3 linked regions of the Oryctolagus cuniculus genome follow. The protein of the gene in region 3 purifies or fractionates together with the protein of the main gene of each other region. This does not show direct contact. Links are inferred from orthologs where the notes say so. Each region holds a gene or a part of one and is shown on either strand. Other genes may lie near its edges. The genes, in order: WASL, DLG5 and SORBS3.

Evidence for each region.
Region 1: the proteins of SORBS3 (region 3) and WASL purify together in Homo sapiens (co-immunoprecipitation; 3 studies listed by BioGRID and IntAct, with this or other methods). This does not show direct contact. The link is inferred for Oryctolagus cuniculus from reciprocal best matches to the Homo sapiens genes SORBS3 and WASL.
Region 2: the proteins of SORBS3 (region 3) and DLG5 purify together in Homo sapiens (co-immunoprecipitation; 3 studies listed by BioGRID and IntAct, with this or other methods). This does not show direct contact. The link is inferred for Oryctolagus cuniculus from reciprocal best matches to the Homo sapiens genes SORBS3 and DLG5.

What each region holds. Positions count from the first base shown.
Region 1 is NC_091434.1:159,981,671-159,988,525, forward strand, and holds the start of WASL (actin nucleation-promoting factor WASL), read right to left. Parts: upstream 4,640-6,855; 5' UTR 4,234-4,639; coding exon 4,111-4,233; intron 1-4,110. UniProt on the Homo sapiens protein: Regulates actin polymerization by stimulating the actin-nucleating activity of the Arp2/3 complex. Involved in various processes, such as mitosis and cytokinesis, via its role in the regulation of actin polymerization.
Region 2 is NC_091446.1:68,896,022-68,902,919, reverse strand, and holds the start of DLG5 (disks large homolog 5), read left to right. Parts: upstream 1-2,294; 5' UTR 2,295-2,560; coding exon 2,561-2,864; intron 2,865-6,898. UniProt on the Homo sapiens protein: Acts as a regulator of the Hippo signaling pathway.
Region 3 is NC_091439.1:771,087-777,934, forward strand, and holds the start of SORBS3 (vinexin), read right to left. Parts: upstream 4,052-6,848; 5' UTR 1,076-4,051; intron 1,061-1,075; exon of another isoform or gene 986-1,060; 5' UTR 861-985; intron 1-860. UniProt on the Homo sapiens protein: Vinexin alpha isoform promotes up-regulation of actin stress fiber formation. Vinexin beta isoform plays a role in cell spreading and enhances the activation of JNK/SAPK in response to EGF stimulation by using its third SH3 domain.

The sequences.
Region 1 (6,855 bases), on a different chromosome or scaffold from region 3:
CACCTGGCAAGATTGCACAGTCTTTATTGAAAGTAATCATGGGCCAGCGCCGCGGCTCACTAGGCTAATCCTCCGCTTTGCGGCGCCGGCACACCAGGTTCTAGTCCCGGTCGGAGCGCCGGATTCTGTCCCGGTTGCCCCTCTTCCAGGCCTGCTCTCTGCTGTGGCCAGGGAGTGCAGTGGAGGATGGCCCAAGTGCTTGGGCCCTGAACCCCATGGGAGACCAGGAGAAGCACCTGGCTCCTGCGATCCGATCAGCGCAGTGTGCCGGCTGCAGCGCGCCGGCCACGGCGGCCATTGGTGGGTGAACCAATGGCAAAGGAAGACCTTTCTCTCTGTCTCTCTCTCTCACTGTCCACTCTGCCTGTCAAAAAAGAAAAAAGAAAAAAAAGAAAGTAATCATGGACAGTAAGATAACCACAATGTTTTAAAAGGGAAAAAAATACTACAAGTTAATGAACAGCATTAAAACTATGTATTTTTGTGAAAATATATAACGTATACTTACATATAACTTCAAAAGAAAGCTCAATTTCCACTAATTCTATTTTTAAAAACTGTGGCAAAACAATAAAATTTTCTGAAAATTCACTTTCTCCATGAAAGCAATCACCAATCCTGAGTGTCCCTTACATGTAGGCATATGTCCAGCAATTGAGACATGTATTTCTGCAGTTTTTCTGTAGGTTGTAACACCTATCTTTATCACAATACCCTTCCCTCACTCTATCTAGGTAAGACTAGGTTCTGTTGGAGACCTTCTAATTGTCCTTGAACTTCCACCAGTACTGCCTTACTCAGGCTCTCAAGGTATTTCATGTGAACAACTGTAAATACCCCTCTAATCTCCTCTGTCTCCACTCTCACAATCCTCAATCCACCTTCTATACTGCCTCCACCATTCCCCTCAAAACTTCTAAAAATCAAATCTGATCTTGTGGTTTCCCCACTTATTAGTGCAATACTTCCTCTCAAAGCTATGAAATGCACATTTCTGATATCTTAAGGAATCAGAGAAATGCTGTGCTGAAAGAACTTGTTTTAAATTAAACTTGACTCACAAAATATAGGCTAAAGATGGAGGGGAAAATTCATTAGCATTTTCACTGTTACTTTTCCAATATAACATCTAATGTTTCTAGGATTACTGTATCAGAAACAGTGGACTTCACCAGTGGGTTTCAAATTGTAAAACATATTAGACTTCCTTTAAGCTTTCTAAAAACAGAAATGCCCAACCTCCACCCCAGACTCAGTGAATTTATCTAGAAATTGGCCCCAGCCATAAGCTTTCCTAACAACCTCCACCATGGTTCCAATGCATATCTAAATTTGAGAAGCCAAGCAGAAATCCTTATAGCTCCAGCAACAAACTATCAGCAACTATCCTAACTTCCCAAGCTATCTCATGCCTCTCACTGACCTGGAAAACTATCATCTCAAATATTCACGTTTGGCTTTTACTCATCCTTTCTCTCACTATCCTCTCTTCTGATCCCCTAAACTTTTATTAGACAGTTTCTACATATTTACACGCAGTGTCCTCCTAATCCACATGCCCTATTCCCATGAAACCTGCAACAGGAAGCTTAAGAAACTTTCTAAAGTGACCAAAGTTTGCTGACTACAAAGTCAAGGTGTTTTCCACTGTGGCATGCAGCTTCTTAAACATCACTCTGAACTACTGACTTACTCATCAGTTTATACGTTTGTTTCCTTTTTAGAACACCAAGCTCCCTGAGGGCAAGCACAACCCCGATTTTGACCTCAACATTTAGTTACCCAACACATGCTTGTTGAATCTAAGAAGGAATGAAGCTCTGAGAGAGAGAGAGAGAGAGAGACAGAGACAGAGAGAGAGAGAGAAAGTCTGGTTCATTTCTTGAATTCTTAGAGCTCTCAATAAACTTCTTGCCTAATACATTTGGTCTGACCTGTAAACCTTATTGCTGGATTTATTGTAAAAATGTATGAAAGTACTGTTTTACACTACAAAAGACTGTATAATCAGTAAAGGGAAAAAAGATTATTGCAAAAATTTAAACTATTATTCTCAATGTTACTCCCTATCACCTGGGGACTTTACATTTTAAAGTTAATCTTCCTGACAATTTCATTCCACAAGAACAGGCAACTGTAACAAGTGTGGTTTTAAATGACAGAAATTCAAAAGGTAAAGCTGATTAATAAAAGATGGCATAGAGAAATTGAGCACTGACTACTGACAGCCTATTCGACAATCTGCTTATGCTACCCAGTGAGCAATACTATCTTTCTCTTATCAGGATATGTTCCACATATGTCATTTTTTTGAACCCAGTAAACATTATAGGAAAGCACAGAGCAATTTGTCAGTATACTTGTGTATAATATGTGTAATATGCTTCCTACCTAAAGTTTTAGTATGTCTGGTATGTAAAACATGTACAACTACTTCCTTTTGGATACAGATTATCCAACATATGTAATAAACCAGCAAAGTGGATTTTTTGTTCATTTACAGATAACAAAGAGCTGGAGAGTGTAAACTGAAAAAAAAGTAAAAAGAAAAATAGTGCTGCTTTAGAAATCCTGCATTTTTTCTTAGTTTCTGACAATAAAGAATGAACTGGTGATTCCTTTAGCATCACTTTTACAAACAAAACAGTAAGGAGAAAAAAAAAAGATCCTCTTCTAACTAAAACAACATGATGTAGTGGAAAGTAAAATGGGCCTAAGCACCAGGAGTCCTGGTTTTCTAGTTCCAGTTACATTACCAAATGGTTGTGTGACTTGGTGCTCAGTGGCTAAGTTTTCCCATTTGTTTACAAAATTGTGTGGGCGAGGAGGAAGTTAATTATATTTAAAGTTGTTTCACAAAAATGTGATTCTGAGCCGCCCTTCTGTCCTTCATTCTGATCATTCGATCAGTAAACTCCATGTTCTTTAAGATCTACATCCAGAAATACGAAATACCCCTAAAACTGAATGGAATGATTCAGTCTCCAACTGTGTGGCACAAGATATAAAGAGGAGCCTCTAATAAAGTTAACACTTAATCTGGTAACTTTCCAGAAACTGTTTAACCCTAACTTTTTAAACAAACAGGTGCAATCTGGTTTGGCATCTCTTAACATGCCTAAAGAGGGTGACAGAGTGACACTACCCTGTTGAAATTTCCGTGGGTGTTTCCTGGGTTCCAGCGCAAACTCTGCAGGTGCCAGCAAGCAGGGAGAAAGGGTCCCAGCCAGCACTGACTGCAGCTCAAGCCAGGCACCGCAGAAAGATCCCGACACAAGGCCTATACCACGGAGCAGAACCTCCCCACCCCCAGAAGTGCCAGCAGCCAATGTAATGAATGCTTCCGTCAACAACACACATTCTCCTTCCCACAGCACCCTGCCCCTTCCTTGCTCCCAACCGGCCATCTGGGGTTGGAACCGGCCGCACAGCACCAGCCTAAGAACCACTCTCGGCCCCAAAGGCCAAGAACTACTAGAGATCGAGGTTTCCGTGCGCAAGGCTGCGGGGAGAACAGCACCCGCTCCTACAAATGCAAAAATAAAAAAATCAGTGGGGAGGAGATTAGAAACCAGGCCTAGGCGAGGCTGCTGTGGAAATAAACCCTGCTTCTGTGCACTGGGGAGCAGCAGCGCTTCCTGCCCCTGTTCTGATCCTGGAGTTCCCAGGAACCTGCACTCCATCCACTCCCTGCTGCAATCTGCAAGGGGCTCCACTCCCCGAGACCTACCCACTCCCCAAACCTCTGGCATTGTTAGGAAAGGGACGCCCGGGTTCCACACAGGAGGTGACGCGAGGGCAGAACAGGGGTGGTCCCCTTTCTGAGCGTCAGGGGCTCGGGCGCTCTGAGAGTAAAGTTGGAACCGGCAGCCAGGGCGCGGGCCGCGGAAGGGCCGCGGAGGTGACACTCCCTTGTTCTCGGGCAGCTCCGGAGACGGCGTCCGGCTGCCCCGGCCCGCACCCAGGGAGCAGGGCGAGGGCGCCGGCCGCGGGAGGCCTGGCTCGCGGCGGGACTCTTTCCCCGCGCCACTCGCGCCTCCTTCCCGGTCCCCAAGCCCAGGCCCCCGGCGGGCAACGTCGAAGGTAGCGACGCAGTTCTCGACCACTGACCACACATTTCTTGCCGAGGAACGTGAACAGGGACTCGTTCTCCTGCGGGGTGAGCAGCAGGGACCCCACGTTGGTGACCCTCCGCGGCGGCGGCGGCTGCTGCTGCTGCTGCCCGGAGCTCATGGTTGCGCCGGCGGGGATGAGAGTCCAGGGCCGTGTCCTCCGGTGAGTGGGCCACGCTCGTCCCCCCTTCTCAGTGACAGGGGCGAGAAGCAGCGGAGTCACCAGCGCAGCATCTCGAGGCTCCTCCGGCGCGGGGAGGAGGAGGAGGAGCTGACGGCGGGCCGCGCGGAGGAAAGGACGCTCCCAGCTCCAGCCCGGCTAGGCTTAGGCCCGATGGTCGTTGTCCTCGCACTCCGGCGACTGCGCTAAACTCCCAACTCCTCCTACAAGCCTCCTGCGGCGCCGGCGGCGGCCGCACAATCCAACATGGCAGCAGGGGCGGGCGAGACCACAGTACGCAGGGCGCGGGGGAGCGCGCCGGAAACGCGGGAGGAACCCCCCCACTCCGGGGCAGGCCTCGCCGCGCCGGCCGAAGCCCCGCCCCTTTCCGGCCGCGCGGGGGCTGGTGGGGCTCGGCTCCCGGACCTGGCTCCGGCCTGTGGCCTTTGGGTACCAGGGACTGAGGAGAGGATGAGGATCCGCTACCGCGGTGGTCCGCCGCCCTCTCTTCTGAGGGTGCGCACCTTGCGAAGCGTCCTTTCTCAGTGGCGGAAGTGGGACGCGCACGCCGCCTGTCAGAAAGGTCTGGAATCTGGAGGGGACAGTTGGGCGCGCGTGCCGCCGGCTTGGGGCTGAGCCGCAGGTGCACACTCCCGACCCGACTTCCCCAGAGGGAGCGGAGACGCAGGCCTCTCTCCCTGCGTTCCTGAAACGCATCTTGATGCGGGCAAGTCTCCAAACGCGCTTAGAAAACGCTTCCGCCGCCCCCCTGGCTCGCTTGTCACGTGCGATAAATGCTCTAGGATGTGTACCATTTAAATTCGAGTTCTGTCTTTCAAGGACCCTGAACTTACAACCACTCCGTGAATTGGGAGATAATCCCCCCATCTTTTTCTCTTTCTTTGGAACCCCAAAGTTCTTGTATTGTATCTACCCAGAGTTCTTGTATTGTTTCTCATTTTGAGAAGTCACGGCCGGAAAACGCCTTACCTGGTTAAATTCTTAGAGGTAAACCTCGAGCTGATGTGTGTGCAGAAATGTTGTAAGTTGTCTGGGATAACCCCCTTTATTCAGTAAGCTTATATGCTCCACAACTGTTGTGAGAGGAAATTTTGAAATATGGAAATGGTAAAACTGGTCCACGGGGAACAATGAATCGTGCGTCTGACCTCCACGTTAAACGTATCCGCATTTGTGCACACACTTTAATGTGTTTGCTAATTCTCAGTTTCAATAAAAAAAAAAAAAAGTGGTATGTGAAGACATCTTCCTAAGACAAACTTTGATAAAGCTATTTGATTTTAGTGGCTCTGGTAACTTCCCATAGAAATCCCCAATGTATTAAGTAGATGAATAAACCATTATCAGTGCACTTGGGAAATATTAGGAAAATTTATGGTTAAAGATGGTCTAGTAAAATTGAGCAGTTATAAATCTGCAAAAGGAAATGAGGGCGTTACACCTTGGAGATTTTCATATAATATGTGGATATTTCAAACTTGACCTTGATTAATAATGTTATAGAAAAATGGAGGGGTAACTGTTCATAAAGTAGTTTAAAAGGACAGTAGTGGAAATGTAGATCCGGAGTTACCTCTGAATCACAGAAGATAAACCTGGGTGCTATTTTGTCTTTGATCACAAATGCAGCTACAGGTGGAAAGCAGAGTAACAGCAGCAAGCTGTTAAAGTTACTGGGAAGTGATAGACACCAAAACCCTTATGTTTTTGAACCTGTAAATAAGTTTAATACTAAAAGTACAGACTTCAGGTATACTTTAAGTGGCAGTTCCTGTTAAGCCTCTTAGAACTTTATGGAACTTTGGACAAGTTAACTTCTGTAAGTCTATTTCCTCATCCATAAAATGAAAACGATTTGTTTCGTAAAGGTGTAGTGTAAGTATTGAAATTGCACCTATTTCCAAGTTGCAAAATATGATAGCACATATAAGGAACTTACATGTAGTGAGTACTCAAGTATTAGTTGTCACTTACTGTCCTTGCCTATCGTCTATTCTATTCTCCTTTGGCTAAAGGCTCAAGTTGAATGAAAATATATTGTTTTACCTTTGTTCTGTCTAACCCTAAAAGCTATCCTTAGAATTTACAACTCTACAAAATCTCCAAATATATGATGGTAAATTTGGAGCATTTTCTCTTTGTTGGCAGGATAGTATACCCCAGTATGCCAATATAGCAAAACATTGAAAAACTATAAATCTAGGAATCCTGTTCACTTGTAATTAATAAAAACTGAAAGAATTTTTATGCTACAATATCAGCTTTTAAAATGTGTAGATCACAGTATTTTTAGTTTTGGTAGTCTTTCAACCTCTTATATTCCCAGACTGCAGTTTAAATTGCTTTATTTCTTCCAAAAATATTTGTCTTACCCAAATGCAATTTTCTATTAACCCTTGTTCAATTTTATTTAGATTTCTTAAGATTGAAAATTAAGATCATCATAGACTTTTTTCCTCAAGCCCAGTTTCTTTAATTTTTCCTTAGCCCTTTTTCCTCAGGCCCAGTTTCTTTAATTTTTCCTTAGCCCAAAGTTCATAAAACTGCACTTTAAGCTTTTAT
Region 2 (6,898 bases), on a different chromosome or scaffold from region 3:
AAAAAATTGTGCAGAAATATAAAGTCATAGGGCCGGCGCTGTAGTGCAGCAGGTAAAGCCACCACCTGTGATGCCAGCATCTCATATGGGCACCGGTTCCTGTCCCAGCTGCTCCACTTCCAACCCAGCTCCCTGCTACTGCACCTGGGAAAGCAGCAGAAGGTACTGGAAGCGCTTTGGCCCCTGCAGCCATGTGGGAGACCTGGAAGGGGCTCCTGGCTCCTTAAACAAATTTTTTTTTTTTTTTTTTAAAGAAAAAGTATCTGCTTCAGAATGTATGCTTTCCATACACCCCAGAGGCACCAGTACCGCAGGGCCTGGCAGCAGGCCTGCCTAGTACACGGCCCCGCACTGCTTCGGAGGAAGCACGCACCCTCCGCACCATGTCCTCAGGGCTGCTGGCCACCACCTCCCAGGTACCTTTTGCTTCTGGGCTTATGCTCAGTTCTAACCATAAACCAAACCAGCCTCCAATTTTCCCTCGTTCCTTCTCCCCTGCTTCCACCTTCCTCCCATCTCCTGGATTTTAAATGAATGCAGCCGAGAGCACAAGGTCCAGGCACGCCCAGAGAGACGGATACTCTGCAGATGACCGTGGCTCTGTGGCTGCTGGGAAGGAAATGGTGGCGGGAAGAGGAGGGAGAGGAAGGCAAGAGCTGGCAGCCTGTCTAGAGCCCTGGTGCGGTGCACATGGTCTGCTTTCCACTCCCCTCACACCGGGCTCAGCGGCAAAGCCCAGGCACTCTGGGCAGAGAAGTATGAGACCTGTGAACAGGTGACTGCCCCCATGCTGGGATCACGGAGGCCCTAATAAACTCGGACAAAGCCGTGGACTCTCATCCTGCCCAAGTACATGAATGCCCGCACAAAAAAGCTGTGATAAATTGAAAAGTCTCGCTGACTCCCTTGGGTGTTATTTAATTCAAGAGGCAAAGAAACAGAGACAGCTCCCCTCTGCAAGGTCACTCCCCCGATGGCCAGGGTCTGAACCAGGAGCTGGGGACTCCATCCAGGGCTCTGGGGACGAACTTAAGCACTTGAGCCATCACCTGCTACCTCCCAGGGTTTGTACTGGCAGGACGTTGGTCTCGGGAGCCGGATCTGGGGATGAAACCCAGGCACTCTGATGTGGATGTCCTAACCAAATGTCTGTTCATGAAGCCAAGCCTAAGCACCCCTTGCTCTAGTCCCCTCAACCCTCTGTATTTCTTCTAAAGACAAAAAAACAGATCAGCAAGGAAAACTGATTTGTTCTCACCTGTGCAGCTAGAGGGAGATCCAGCATTAATCCGTGTTCTAAGCACTACACGGGGACTGTGTTCTCATTAGACCAAAGAAGCAGCTTTTGCTTATGGGGCAAGTGTGGGGATGGAAACAGCAGTGGCAGTAAACAGAGTCCCAGGCCTTGGGTGTGGGCGAATGAGTTTCACCCCTTCCCACACAGGCCTCTGGAATGGACCCCCAGGAGTGCTGTGGGGTCACTGGGAGCCCTGCACAGGGCCATGTCCCCCAGAGAGAGGTACGCAGCCTTGTCCACACTCAAGTCGGTGGCAATGGGGGACTGACTGAGGACTGGGGGCCTTCTTGGAGCTGGACCTGGTCCCTCTTGCAGTCATGGGGGGGGATGCAAGGCAGCCCATTGATTTGCCTCCTTCGGAGACGGGCTACCAGCTGGGGGGTACCATCCAGACGTCTAGAGCGCCTGGGGGTACCACCGCCACTCCTCTGTTTGCCCCCTCCTCCCGCCAGCACCCAACATCTGTAGATTGGGGACTAGCTCCTCTCAGATGCGGGTTAGGGGAAAGACCCCATTAACAGGGTCTTAGTTTGGAGACGTCTGAGTTTAGGGGACACTCCCTTCCCTCTACTATGATCAGTACGAGGTGGGTCTCCGGTAGCTCGGGGGCTGCAGCCAACCCGGGGTAGGGGCCGGGACCCCTGCCTCTCGCCCACCCCCTAGCTCGTCGCCGCCTCCCGGAGGGACGGCCGGGGAGAGGGGGAGGGGAGACCGGAGGGGCGGGCCCGCGCTGGGGCGCGGGCCTTGGCGGAGCGGGCGGCGGCCGCGGGGCCCCGGTGAGCCGGGCCAGAGTCGTCGAGGGGCCAGCGCCCGGGTCCCGGGCCGCTTTTCCCGGGGGGCGGCGAGGCACACTCGGCGGCGACTCCTCTCGCGGGCCGGCGGCGCGCGGGGGCGGAGGCGGAGGGGGAGGGGGCATGCCCGGCTGGAGCCCGGCCTCGGGGCGCGCCCCGGCCGCCGTCCCCACCTCCGCCTCCTCCTTCTCCTCCTCCCTCTCCTCCTCCTCCTCCTCCTCCTCCTCCTCCTCCTCCTCCTCCTCTTCCAGTCCCGCCGCCGCGGCAGCCAACATGGCTGCGCTCCGGAGCCCGGGAGGCGGCCGCTGCTGAGCGCCGTGCGCCGCCCGCCGCCCCGGGCCCCCCAGCCCGCGCAGGCCCGGCCCCGATCCATGGCCCCCGGCGCGGCGCGGCTCCCGGCGCGCTAGGGCTGCGGCCCAGGCGCGGGCCCGCCGGCCTCGGAGCCGGGCGGCGCGGCGCGGCCGCCGCCACCATGGAGCCCCAGCGCCGCGAGCTGCTCGCCCAGTGTCAGCAGAGCCTGGCCCAGGCCATGACGGAGGTGGAAGCCGTGCTCGGGCTGCTCGAGGCCGCGGGCGCGCTGAGCCCCGGCGAGCGGCGGCAGCTGGACGAGGAGGCGGGAGGCGCCAAGGCGGAGCTGCTGCTCAAGCTGCTCCTGGCCAAGGAGCGCGACCACTTCCAGGACCTGCGGGCGGCGCTGGAGAAGACCCAGCCTCACCTGCTGCCCATCCTGTATCCGAACGGCGTCGTGGGGCCGCCGCAGCCCGCCGAGGGCGCGGGTGAGTGTCCGCCCCCCGTCCCTTCTGCCTGCGGCGCGCGCGAGGGGGCATCTCGCCGGGGCCCCCGGTCCACCTGGCGGCGGCCGCGGGTGGAGCCGCCCCTCCTTTAGCCCGTTCGGACAGGGGGCCCAGCGTGGACCCTGAATTCACGCCCGGGGCCCCAGGCCCTCCGGTAGCCCGGAGCAACGTCTCCCGGGCCAGGGGCCCTCGCCCTCCCACTGCCAGGCGGCAGCGTCCTGCCGCGTCTCCCAGGTGCCTTTCCCAAGGCTTTTCCCCGGTTACTGGCCCTTTGGGAGCCCCTGCTGTCCTTTGACCAGCGGACCCCGATCTCGCTGCTGCCCGTCCCGGCTCCCTTACCTCTGCCCGGCTCAGCCCCTTAGCTGGCCCGGACCTGTGGTTGGTTGTGCACAATGCCTGCCTAGGTCTCTTTGCAAACTGTGGGCCGGGAAAAGTTGGGAAGTTGCATTGCACCATGGGAAAATCCTAGCAAACGGCTCGGGGCTGAGCTTCCTCCCAGAACGCCGAGCTGCCCACGGGTCCCCTTGGGTGGTACCTTTTGGCGCTTCTGAGTTCTCGGTGTTGGGGGTGACTGGTGTGTGTGTGTGTGTGAGCTTCTGAGGGAGGGGGAGGCTTGTCCTGACCAGGTTGGGGAGGGCAGAGAACTGGTCATTTGTCGGGCACCAGGCATTCTGCTGTCACCTTTAATTGTGGCTGCCACGCCGCGAGCTGTGACTGCTCCTGCTTGGCCAGAGAGAAAGCTGGTGTCTGGGTGGTTAACATGCTCAGAAAGACCTGGGCACCGGGAGTTCTGAGTTCTGACCAAGGGTTTTAACATGTTCAGAGCCAGGAGCGAGCAAGTGGCCATCACATGCCTGTTTTAAGAATGAGCCAATGTATACAGGAAAAGTAAATAAAGACGCACGCATTAAAGTTAAAGAGAATGAGCCAGGAGGGCCGAAGTGCTGCCTGAGCAGCTTGTGGGCTAAGGGCTGACAGGACCCATTTATGTGGCTGTTAAAAGCTTCTCTCATTACGGGGATGATTTTATAAGGTGTTCCTGGTAACAGCTCTCGTGTCTGATGGCCGTCTCGGCCTCACTGATTTTATAGCCGACGCACACAGAGGGACCTGACGCTGGTCACCCAGCTGTGGATTTCATCGGCGGCCCGTGCATCTCTGTCCCTCAAACTTGCATTCCGTCCCCCCACCTGTGGGCCCATCAGAGTAGAGGGCGAACCGCGCCCTGGCCTGGGATAGTACCTTGGAAGCTGCTAAGGAGGGGCTCTTGGTGTAGCCAGGGGTCTGAGGACAGGGGAGGGTCTTGGGGGAAGTGCCATTCTTTCCCCTTGTTAATTGCTCCATCTATCCACTTGAGAAGGAGGAAGTTTATCCAAGATCCGTGTCCAGCAGTCTCTTGGAAGCACAGACGTGAGAGTGCGGAGCAGGCGTTCTTGCTGGATGCCTGAGACTCAGCCCCCCCCCCCCCCCGCCCATGAATGGCCGTGGGTTCGGTGTCCCCTGAAGCTGTGGGAGCAGAGTCCCGACCCCTTTGCATTTTATCCCTCGGGGCAGTGATGTCGGACCCCAGCTTTGCCACATTGCAGAGTTCCGTGGCTTCACAGAGGGTCATGAGATTCTTAAGACAAATAATTGCCGGCGCCGTGGCTCAATAGGCTAATCCTCCACCTTGCGGCGCCAGCACACCAGGTTCTAGTCCCGGTCGGGGCGCCGGATTCTGTCCCGGTTGCCCCTCTTCCAGGCCAGCTCTCTGCTATGGCCAGGGAGTGCAGTGGAGGATGGCCCAGGTGCTTGGGCCCTGCACCCCATGGGAGACCAGGAAAAGCACCTGGATCCTGGCTCCTGCCATCGGATCAGCGCGGTGCGCCGGCTGCAGCGGCGGCCATTGGAGGGTGAACCAACGGCAAAGGAAGACCTTTCTCTCTGTCTCTCTCTCTCTCTCACTGTCCACTCTGCCTGTCAAAAAAAAAAAAAAAAAATAATTGCCAAGGGGAAGTTGACTTCATTTGATTCAACATGTTAGGAAGAAAAACGTTCATTTGCCGTTCTGGAGCCTGGGGGCAGCGAGTGATGTGGTGTGCAGGTCAGCAGCGGCACGTGGGGCTTTTTCATGGGGGCAAAGCTCTGTGCACGAAAGAGCGGCTGTGGTCGGAGGGCTGGAGGCCCCGGCCTCACCCGGGAGCAGCCACTGTCAGAGAGACCCAGCGCTGTGCCCTGCCTCCTTTGACTCCTCAGCGACTTCTGCAGCTTCCAGGTCCCGGGCTGGCATCAGCATGGAGCCCGAGAGGAAGTGCTGGCGCTCCTAGGACCCTGGCGTCAGGGGGTGGCCGCTCTGTCACTGTCTCTACGTTGGAGGCCACGCCGTCTCCTGGGGGCGTTCATGGTGGATTCAGCACTCTGTGGTCTGGTCCAAAGTGCCATCCAAACCCCTGGGCCCCTGTGCCCTCTGGGAGTCTGCAGTGGCATGGACACAGAGACGCTGCCAGCCCTCCACGTGGGGCTGGAAGGGAAGGAAACTCGTGGCTGCGTGCGGCTGTGCAGGTGAGCTGACCAAGCCCTCTGGGCAGGTTGGGCTCAATTAGATCCCCCACGTTTATAACCCACTCCAATCAGGCCTGGGCTGTAGGGATGACAAAGAAGCGTCCAGTATGGTTGTTCTGCCCTTGGCAGGGCCGTTCAGCACTTACCTTCTATTCTTTATTGTTCTTTTACTAAGTCATTAGTTAATTCGAGAGACACAGAGAGAAAGAGATCACACTCCCATCTGCTGATTTACTCCCCAGACAGCCAGGGATGGGCCAGGCCAAAGTTGGGAACTGGGAACTCAATCTGGGTCCTCCAAATGGGTGGCAGGGACCCTAGAACTTGAGCCTTCATCATCTGCTGCTTCCCAGGGTGTGCTTTAACTGGAAACTGAAATTGGGAGCACAGCTAGGACTCGAACCCAGGCACTCTGATACGGGATTCAGGTGTTCCAACCAGCATTTTAACCTCTAGGCCAGATGCCTGCCCTCTGGTTTCTTACTCTCCTGTCTCACTGATTCTGTGGCTGAATGTGTGATGAATGGAGTCTTTTGGGTTCATTATATTGGGTTCCAGGGCCCTGTCTGTAAGGTCTAAGGAAGAAGTCACAGGACGGGGGCCAGCGCTGCGGTACAGCAGGTTAAGCCACTGCCTGCAACCCAGCATCCCATATGGGTGTTGGTTGGAGTATTGGCTGCTCCGCTTCTGATCCAGCTCCCTGCTAATGCGTCTGGGAAAGCAACAGAAGATGGCCCAAGTGCTTGGGCCCCTGCATCCACCTGGGAGACCCGGATGTAGCTCCTGGCTCTTGGCTTTGATCTGGCCCAGACCTGGCCATTGTGGCCATTTGGGGAGTGAACCAGTGAATAGAAGACTTTTCTCTCTCTGCCTCTGCTTCTCTTTCTCCCTGTAACTCTACCTTTAAAAAAATAAGTAAGGGTCTGGCATTGTGGCTCAGTGGATAAAGCCACCACCTGCAACACCAGCGTCCCATATGGGTACCAGTTCGTGTCCAGGCTGCTCCACTTCCAATCTAGCTCCCTGCTGATGGCCTAGAAAAAGCAGTGGAGGATGACCCAAGTGCTTGGGCTCCTGCTACCCGTGTAGGAGATCTGGAAAAGCTCTTGGCTCCAGCCTCGTCTGTTGTTGCCATTTGGAGAGTGAACTAGTAGATGGAAGATCTCCTGTCTCTCCCCCTGTCTCTGTAACTCTGATTTTCAAATAAATAAATAAATCTTTAAAAAAAGTGGAGCAGCCAGGACATGAACCGGCACCCATATGGGATGCCAGCATCGCAGATGGTGTTTTTACCCGCTATGCTACAGCGCCAGCCCCTCAAATAAATCTTAAAAAAAAAAAAAGTCTCAGGACAGAAGGTGCCGGAGTTGAGGCTAAGGACAGTGGTCCTGGTTCTGTGTCAGGGGTGTCCCCTGTACCCGAGGAGGCCTTCCCAGCAGGGTCGGGACATTTCCTGCCGGTGGTGGCACTCTCTT
Region 3 (6,848 bases):
AAGATGCCAGGAAGGAGGCCGGGCCGAGGGGACCGATTCTGATGGGCAACAGAGAAACGCTGGGCAGCCACCAGACTGCTCTCCCGCGAGCCGGCTGCAGGTGACAGAAAGAGGTCCTTGCGGCGCTGGAAGTCCCTCCTGGGGGCGGAGGGCAGAGGGCACCGGCTGAGCATGGTTAGAGCCCAGCGCAGGCAGCGGAAGCCAGGCCTTCCCTTGACTTCTGGAACTACGAAGCGAGCAAGAGCCAACAAGCGCCTCCACCAGGAAGTACAAGAAATAATGACACGAGAGCCATTAAAGTCACCATTTAATTTTAAAGGTTTTTTTTTTTTTCCCTCCCATCTTAAAGATAACTTCTAATACACAGTAAGAAAGTTCCAACAAAGTAATTTCTGGTGCACAAAGAGACTGACTAAATGGTTTCTTTCCAATAAATAACACGGCCAACATTTTCTTTAACATAACTGCAACCAGGAAACAAGGCAATCTCCAAGCACAAACATATAATCCATCCATCACCCAGAAGAACCTCAGGAAAAGTGACGCCGCAGCCAGTCTCCTACAGCTGGCCACCTGGGAGCCTCCCTCGGAAAATGTTTGCTGACATGCCGGCTGGGAAGAACAGCTCTGGGCCACGGCCTACCGAGAGGGGGAAAGTCAAGTGCTCACGACGGCATGTCCGAGAAGGTTCTGTGGCAGCTAAGAATGCACCTGCGTTGCTCCCAAATCCAAGGCCACGGTAGGCCTCCTCATTATGTGCACTTCACTTAAACACGCAGAGGAACCCACAAAAGCAGGGAGTGGGGTGGGTATCCAGAGAGAACTCCGTGGAGGGAGGGAAGCATGGGGCAAGAACTTACGGGCAGGCAGTGTGCATGGCCCCACTTTACAGCTGCTCAGGGGGTGGCCCACGTCCGTGTCCTCTCTTCTCGATCTTAAGCCACCTAGACTGGTCATGAGGGCGCAGAAGAGAAGACGCAGAACCCTGTCTCGGACAAAGGTGTTATTCAGCAAGTCTCCCGAGGCTCTGGGGCCTGAGGCCAAGGCCTCCCCGGAGGGAAGAGCCTCTGTTTACCTTTGTGACTGCATAGATGAGACAGCCAGCACTGACCCCATTCACTCGGGCGGGCTGGAGAGAGGCAGGCCAGGTCCCGAGGCCCAGGGTAACATGGGCGCCCTCTTTTACACTCTGCCAGCGGCACAAAGCCCCGTTGTTAGCACAGTCCTCTGCGACAGCCCTGGCCTCCGACTACCACTTGCTCCCTCTACACACATCTGCTCGCTCGTAACGAGCGGCTGATGGCGGCAGTGCCCCGACGGGACTATGGCAACACAATGCTTCGGAACTGTCCCCTGTGGAACCCGGACCTCCTCAACCCATTGCTGGGGCTTCCTCGGCTGCCCCTCACTCCCTTCCTGACAGACTCAGGAAAGACGGGGGCCGGTGCCACACAAGATGGGACCCACAGTTATAACCACAGACAGATACTGCAGGGAACGGAGCTGCCTACCCACGGGGGCTCTGGGGTCTCCCTCCCACCGGGGACGTTTCTGCCTCTGTAGAGAAAGCTGAAAAATGCTCTGAAAGAAACTCGGGTTCTGTCGTTACTGTAGCAACCAGAGTAACACTGGGGGTTCTAGAAGGGTACTGCACAAGGCTTCATGGGTTCGGAGATTCCTTCTCTACAGCTTGGGGAGAAGCTGATGATGCAAAGCAAAACTAGAATGAAGTCAGTCTCGGGGAGGTCTTCCTAAACCCCATGTTAGCGGGCTTAGCCACCCTGGGCTGGCTGGCTGGTCGGTCACCCTGACGGGTCAGGATGCACACAGTTCTCAAGAATTTGAATTTTGTATTGACTGATGTGGTATGCTAAAATTCTAGAGATCAGCTACAATATTTACAGAGCGAGGGAGGGCGGAGGGAACAGATTTCGGCCTCTCTGCTCTGAGGGGCTGCAGAGACCCGTGAGCGATGGCCAAGCCCTATCCCCTGCAGGCACACCTTCCATCTTTCTGAGAGGTCCTGAACCACTCAGAAGGGGCTGGCGCAGGCATCCCACATGGCACTGTCCCAGCTGCTCCACTTCCCATCCAGCTCTCTGCTGTGGCCCGGGAAAGCAGTGGAAGACGGCCCCAGTGCTGGGGCCCCTGCACCCGTGTGGGAGACCTGGAAGAAGCTCCTGGCTTCGAATTGGTCCAGCTCCAGCCATTGCGGCCGTCTGGGGAGTGAACCAGTGGATGGAAGACCTCTCTCTGCCTCTGCCCCTCTGTAACTCTGCCTTTCAAATAAAAATAAATGAATCTTTAAAAGAAAATAAACCACTCAGAAGAGGATCTAAGGGACAATGCCAAGGCCAGTTTCAAGAAATCAGCCACCGCTTCCCAAGGACATTAAATTCTACTCCTCCACTGACAAACAGCCCCGGGCTTTTCACTTCCCATTTGGAACAGCGTCAGGAAGTCATCCCTAAGTTAGCTGTCGGTGAGGAAAGCCAACCTTTGCTAGTACTCCACTGAGTTGCAGCTGTTCAGGGAAGAACAGAGACAGGCAGTGCAGGTATGGTAAAGGGCACGGAACACACTGACCCCCTGCGCCTGGGCAAGGAGCCGCCCCAAGCCCCCAGAGTATATGATGCAGCTTTCACCTTGTGGTCCGTATCTCGTCACAGCAGGCCAGCAATCAGCAGTGTCTGTACCATAACCAAGCTGCCACCCTGAAGTTCTAAGGGGAGCGAGGGGGGTTTTTGTTTTAGCATCCTATGCGTGGGCACGCCTTGGCTTCCTGTTTTGCCTCTGCTATAAAACATTCAGAACACAGACACTAACGCAGGGGGTCTTGAACTTGGTACTCCAAGGGTCATGCTGTCTCCTGTTTGGAGTCACAGGTGCAGACACCTATGTAGGGACTATACGTCGGCTGAGAGCCTCACTTTATTTACTTATTTATTTTTAAAGATTTATTTATTTATTTACTTGAAAGTCAAAGTTACACAGAGAGAGGAGAGAGGAGGTTCACTCCCCGAATGGCTGCAACAGCCAGGCCAGTCAGGAGCTGCTTCCTGGTCTCCCACAAGGGTGCCGAGCACTTGGGCCATCTTCCTCTGCTTTCCCAGGTGCATCAGCAGGGAGCTGGAGTGGAAGTGGAACAGCTGGGACTCGAACCGGCGCCCATATGGGATGCTGGCACTGCAGGCAGAAGCTTATCCTGCTGAGCCACAGCACTAGCCCCAAGGGAGCCTCACTTTAAAAGGCCACCTGTATCATGCTGAAATGCACTCCCACCCGTTCTAGAGAAGTATCTTTCCCTTAGAACTCAACAGAATTTTCAGGGGCCATTGTTGTGGCACAGCTGGTAAAGCTGCTGCTTGGGCCACCAGCATCCCATGTTACAGGCACCGGTTCGTGTCCCAGCTGCTCTGCTTCCCATCCAGCTCCCTGCTAATGCCTGGGAAAGCAGTGGAAGTCGGCCCAGGTGCTTCAGCCCTTGCTACCCACAGGCGACACCCGCAAGAAGCTCCTGGCTCCGGCTTGGCCCAGACCTGGTCGTTGTGGCCATCTGAGGAATGAACCAGCAGATGAAAGATCTCTCTCTCTCTCTGTCTTTCCCTCTCTGGAACTCTTTCAAATATATAAATCTTAAAAAAACAAACAAACAAACAAAAACAACAACAACAACAACAAAAAAAAAACAGCCGGCGCCGCGGCTCACTAGGCTAATCCTCTGCCTTGTAGCGCCGGCACACCGGGTTCTAGTCCCGGTTGGGGCGCCGGATTCTGTCCCAGTTGCCCCTCTTCCAGGCCAGCTCTCTGCTGTGGCCAGGGAGTGCAGTGGAGGATGGCCCAAGTGCTTGGGCCCTGCACCCCATGGGAGACCAGGAGAAGTACCTGGCTTCTGCCATAGGATCAGCGTGGTGCGCCGGCCGCAACTTGCTGGCCGCGGCGGCCATTGGAGGGTGAACCAACGGCAAAGGAAGACCTTCCTCTCTGTCTCTCTCTCTCTCTCACTGTCCACTCTGCCTGTCCAAAAAAAAAAAAAAAAAAATTAAAAAAAAAAAACACCTCAACAAAATTTTCAAACTAGCTCCCATCAAGAGCTGATGCTCCATTATCTTAAATCGTGGCTTCTCACCTGTCTCCTGTGGCCGACCCCTCAACAGCGCAGTACCTGGGGAACACACCCTCCAGGAAGCTGGCTTTATCACAGGACACTTGAGAAGATACGAAGACTTTCCCAAGTACTCATCCTGGTAAGCTAAAGAGACCCGGCTTTGCTACTAAGGATTTGCAATAACTACTTCACCACAGCCTGCAGATGGAGGCTCTGCAGGGTGGTTTCCGCCCTGTGCGGTGTGTGTGGGTAACCCTGGCTTCCATGACAAGAACGGGGTGTGGGACTCTCATCTCCACCACGCGCCATCGGGAAAGATTCCCCAAGGCACCTTTCACACCCTGGGGCTGCAGGAGCGAGCAGCAGGAGGAAACACAGCAGCTGCTTTCCTCTGAGCACGACAGGAAGGCCAGCAAGGACAGCTGCTGGGGACTTTCTCCTTTCACAGCGCTGACTCACAACCAGCGGAGGAACCTGCGTCTCCTTCCCAGCTTCTTACTAACAGGGCAGTCCACGCAGGTGCACCCCAGCCCTTCAAAATGCTGTGATCTCTTGCATAAGCAAACTCGGTGCTATCAGCAAAAGGTGTAAGAAAACTCAGAAAGCTGGGCTGTCTTCACTCTTCTTATGAAAACTCACAAAGCAATGATGTCTCCTTATTGTTTCCTTGAAGCTCCCAGCATGCGTCACGACCGTCTGTGATCCCTGCTTCGACGCTGGAGTCTCACCTTCCAAGGGCGCACTACGCGGTTCCAGACACGTGCATCTTCCACGCTCTGCTGCCGCGTGCACAGTGCGGGCATTCGCTGCAGAGCTGACAATGGCAATTATGACACGGGACCTGTGACCAGCAGAAACCAAAAACAGGGGCCCAGGTGTCCCCCAAATTTCCTTCACTAGTTGGCTGTCACATGGAAAACAAGGGAAGATCATTCCCTTTATTTGAGTACTTGGTTTCATATTCCAGAATATGCTATGGAGGTTGACATACGGTTCAACCTAATGAGTGTTGGAGACGGAGAAACCCCCAGTGCTTGGTAGACAGGAAATCCTCTCTCGTCCGATGCCCTGTAGCAAGACTCTGAGATCCCAGGGGGATCACCCCGTGCATCAGCGTCCACCGGCCCCCGTGATTTCGGAATGACAGACACGAGACAGAAGCGACCGCCCAGGCAAGCACAGCGGGCACACGTATTCCTTGCTGTTGACGGCTCTGTGGAGGGCGCTGTGAGAAACTTAGAAATGGAACCCGCCTTGCACATGGCCAGGTCACCTGGGGCCGAAAATGAAGGCCAAAGAATCTGGCAATATTTCAAGTTCTTTTCAAAATCGTCTCCAAGGCTCTAAGGAAATTTTATAAATCAATCATGTCCATGGTTAGATCGACAAATTTTAAGTAACTCTAGGAAAATCCTTCCTGGTTTTAAATGTTTCCTTCCTAGAACACAGTAAAAGGAACTGGGAGTCCAGAAAAAGTGGGTTCTCATGGAAATCACCCCCCTCGGCCCGAGAGCGCTGGGCCGGCTACTCCCTTACAGGTTCCGGTACAACGAGTCTCCCACCTGCGCGAAGCAGCTTCCGGCTGAAATCTACGAGGACTTTCTCCCACGGCACCCGGCAGGACCGGGTAAAAATGACAAGGAAGAAACATTCTCGTATCTGAAAAGTTGTTAGTCTTAGATGAACGCTATGAGCTTCTAAGAAGGAAGAGTAAAGGCGATGGCTAGTGTGAGTGAGAAACCCAGGACGGAGGTTTCCAAGGCCCTTTTATTAGGGGAAGCCCCCTTTATACACAAGACTCCACATATGTTCCGACAACAACGAGATTTGTTTCTAAAACTCAGGGCAAAACAAAATAGATGCACTTTTGTCTATGTACATATATACTGAACATAAGTTAAAAGGAATTACAAAATGGTCACCTTCCGTACAGAATAAGTGCCGACTGGATCTGGATGCACCTCCAGGTGCGGCTGAGTGGCCGCTGTTGCCTTTTCCAACAATAAATAAATTAAGCTTGTTCTGGGTGTTGACTCCCCTGCGCCACAGCCGGCCTCGGAGTCACTGCTGGGCTTTCCTCCCCAGCTCGCTCCTGTGCGCTGTGTCCGGGTGCGCCGGCGTCGCTGACTTCACTGGCCCAGCCGAGTGCACGCCGTCTTTCCGGGGTGGCATTCGCTCGTTAATTCGGTCCAGACCTCGGGCTTCTTCAAAACTCCGGATCTTGTGCGGAAGCGAAAACCCTCGGATGGCTGCAGAAACACAGGAAAGGTGGGTTGTGCTGTTAGGCAGGGCAGCCCCAGCTCGACGAGTTCTTACCAGCATGCAGCAAGGCCCTGGAGGAACACAGAGGCGGCCAGGGAGCACCCCTCCAGGGAGGTCCTGGAGGAACACAGAGGCGGCCAGGGAGCACCCCTCCCGGGAGGTCCTGGAGGAACACAGAGGCGGCCAGGGAGCACCCCTCCCGGGAGGTCCTGGAGGAACACAGAGGTGGCCAGGGAGCACTCCTCCCGGGAGGTCCTGGAGGAACACAGAGGGGCGGCCAGGGAGCACTCCTCCCGAGGGGTCCTGGAGGAACACAGAGGGGCGGCCAGGGAGCACTCCTCCCGAGGGGTCCTGGAGGAACACAGAGGCGGCCAGGGAGCACTCCTCCCGGGAGGTCCTGGAGGAACACAGAGGCGGCCAGGGAGCACCCCTCCCGGGAGGTCCTGGAGGAACACAGAGGCGGCCAGGGAGCACCCCT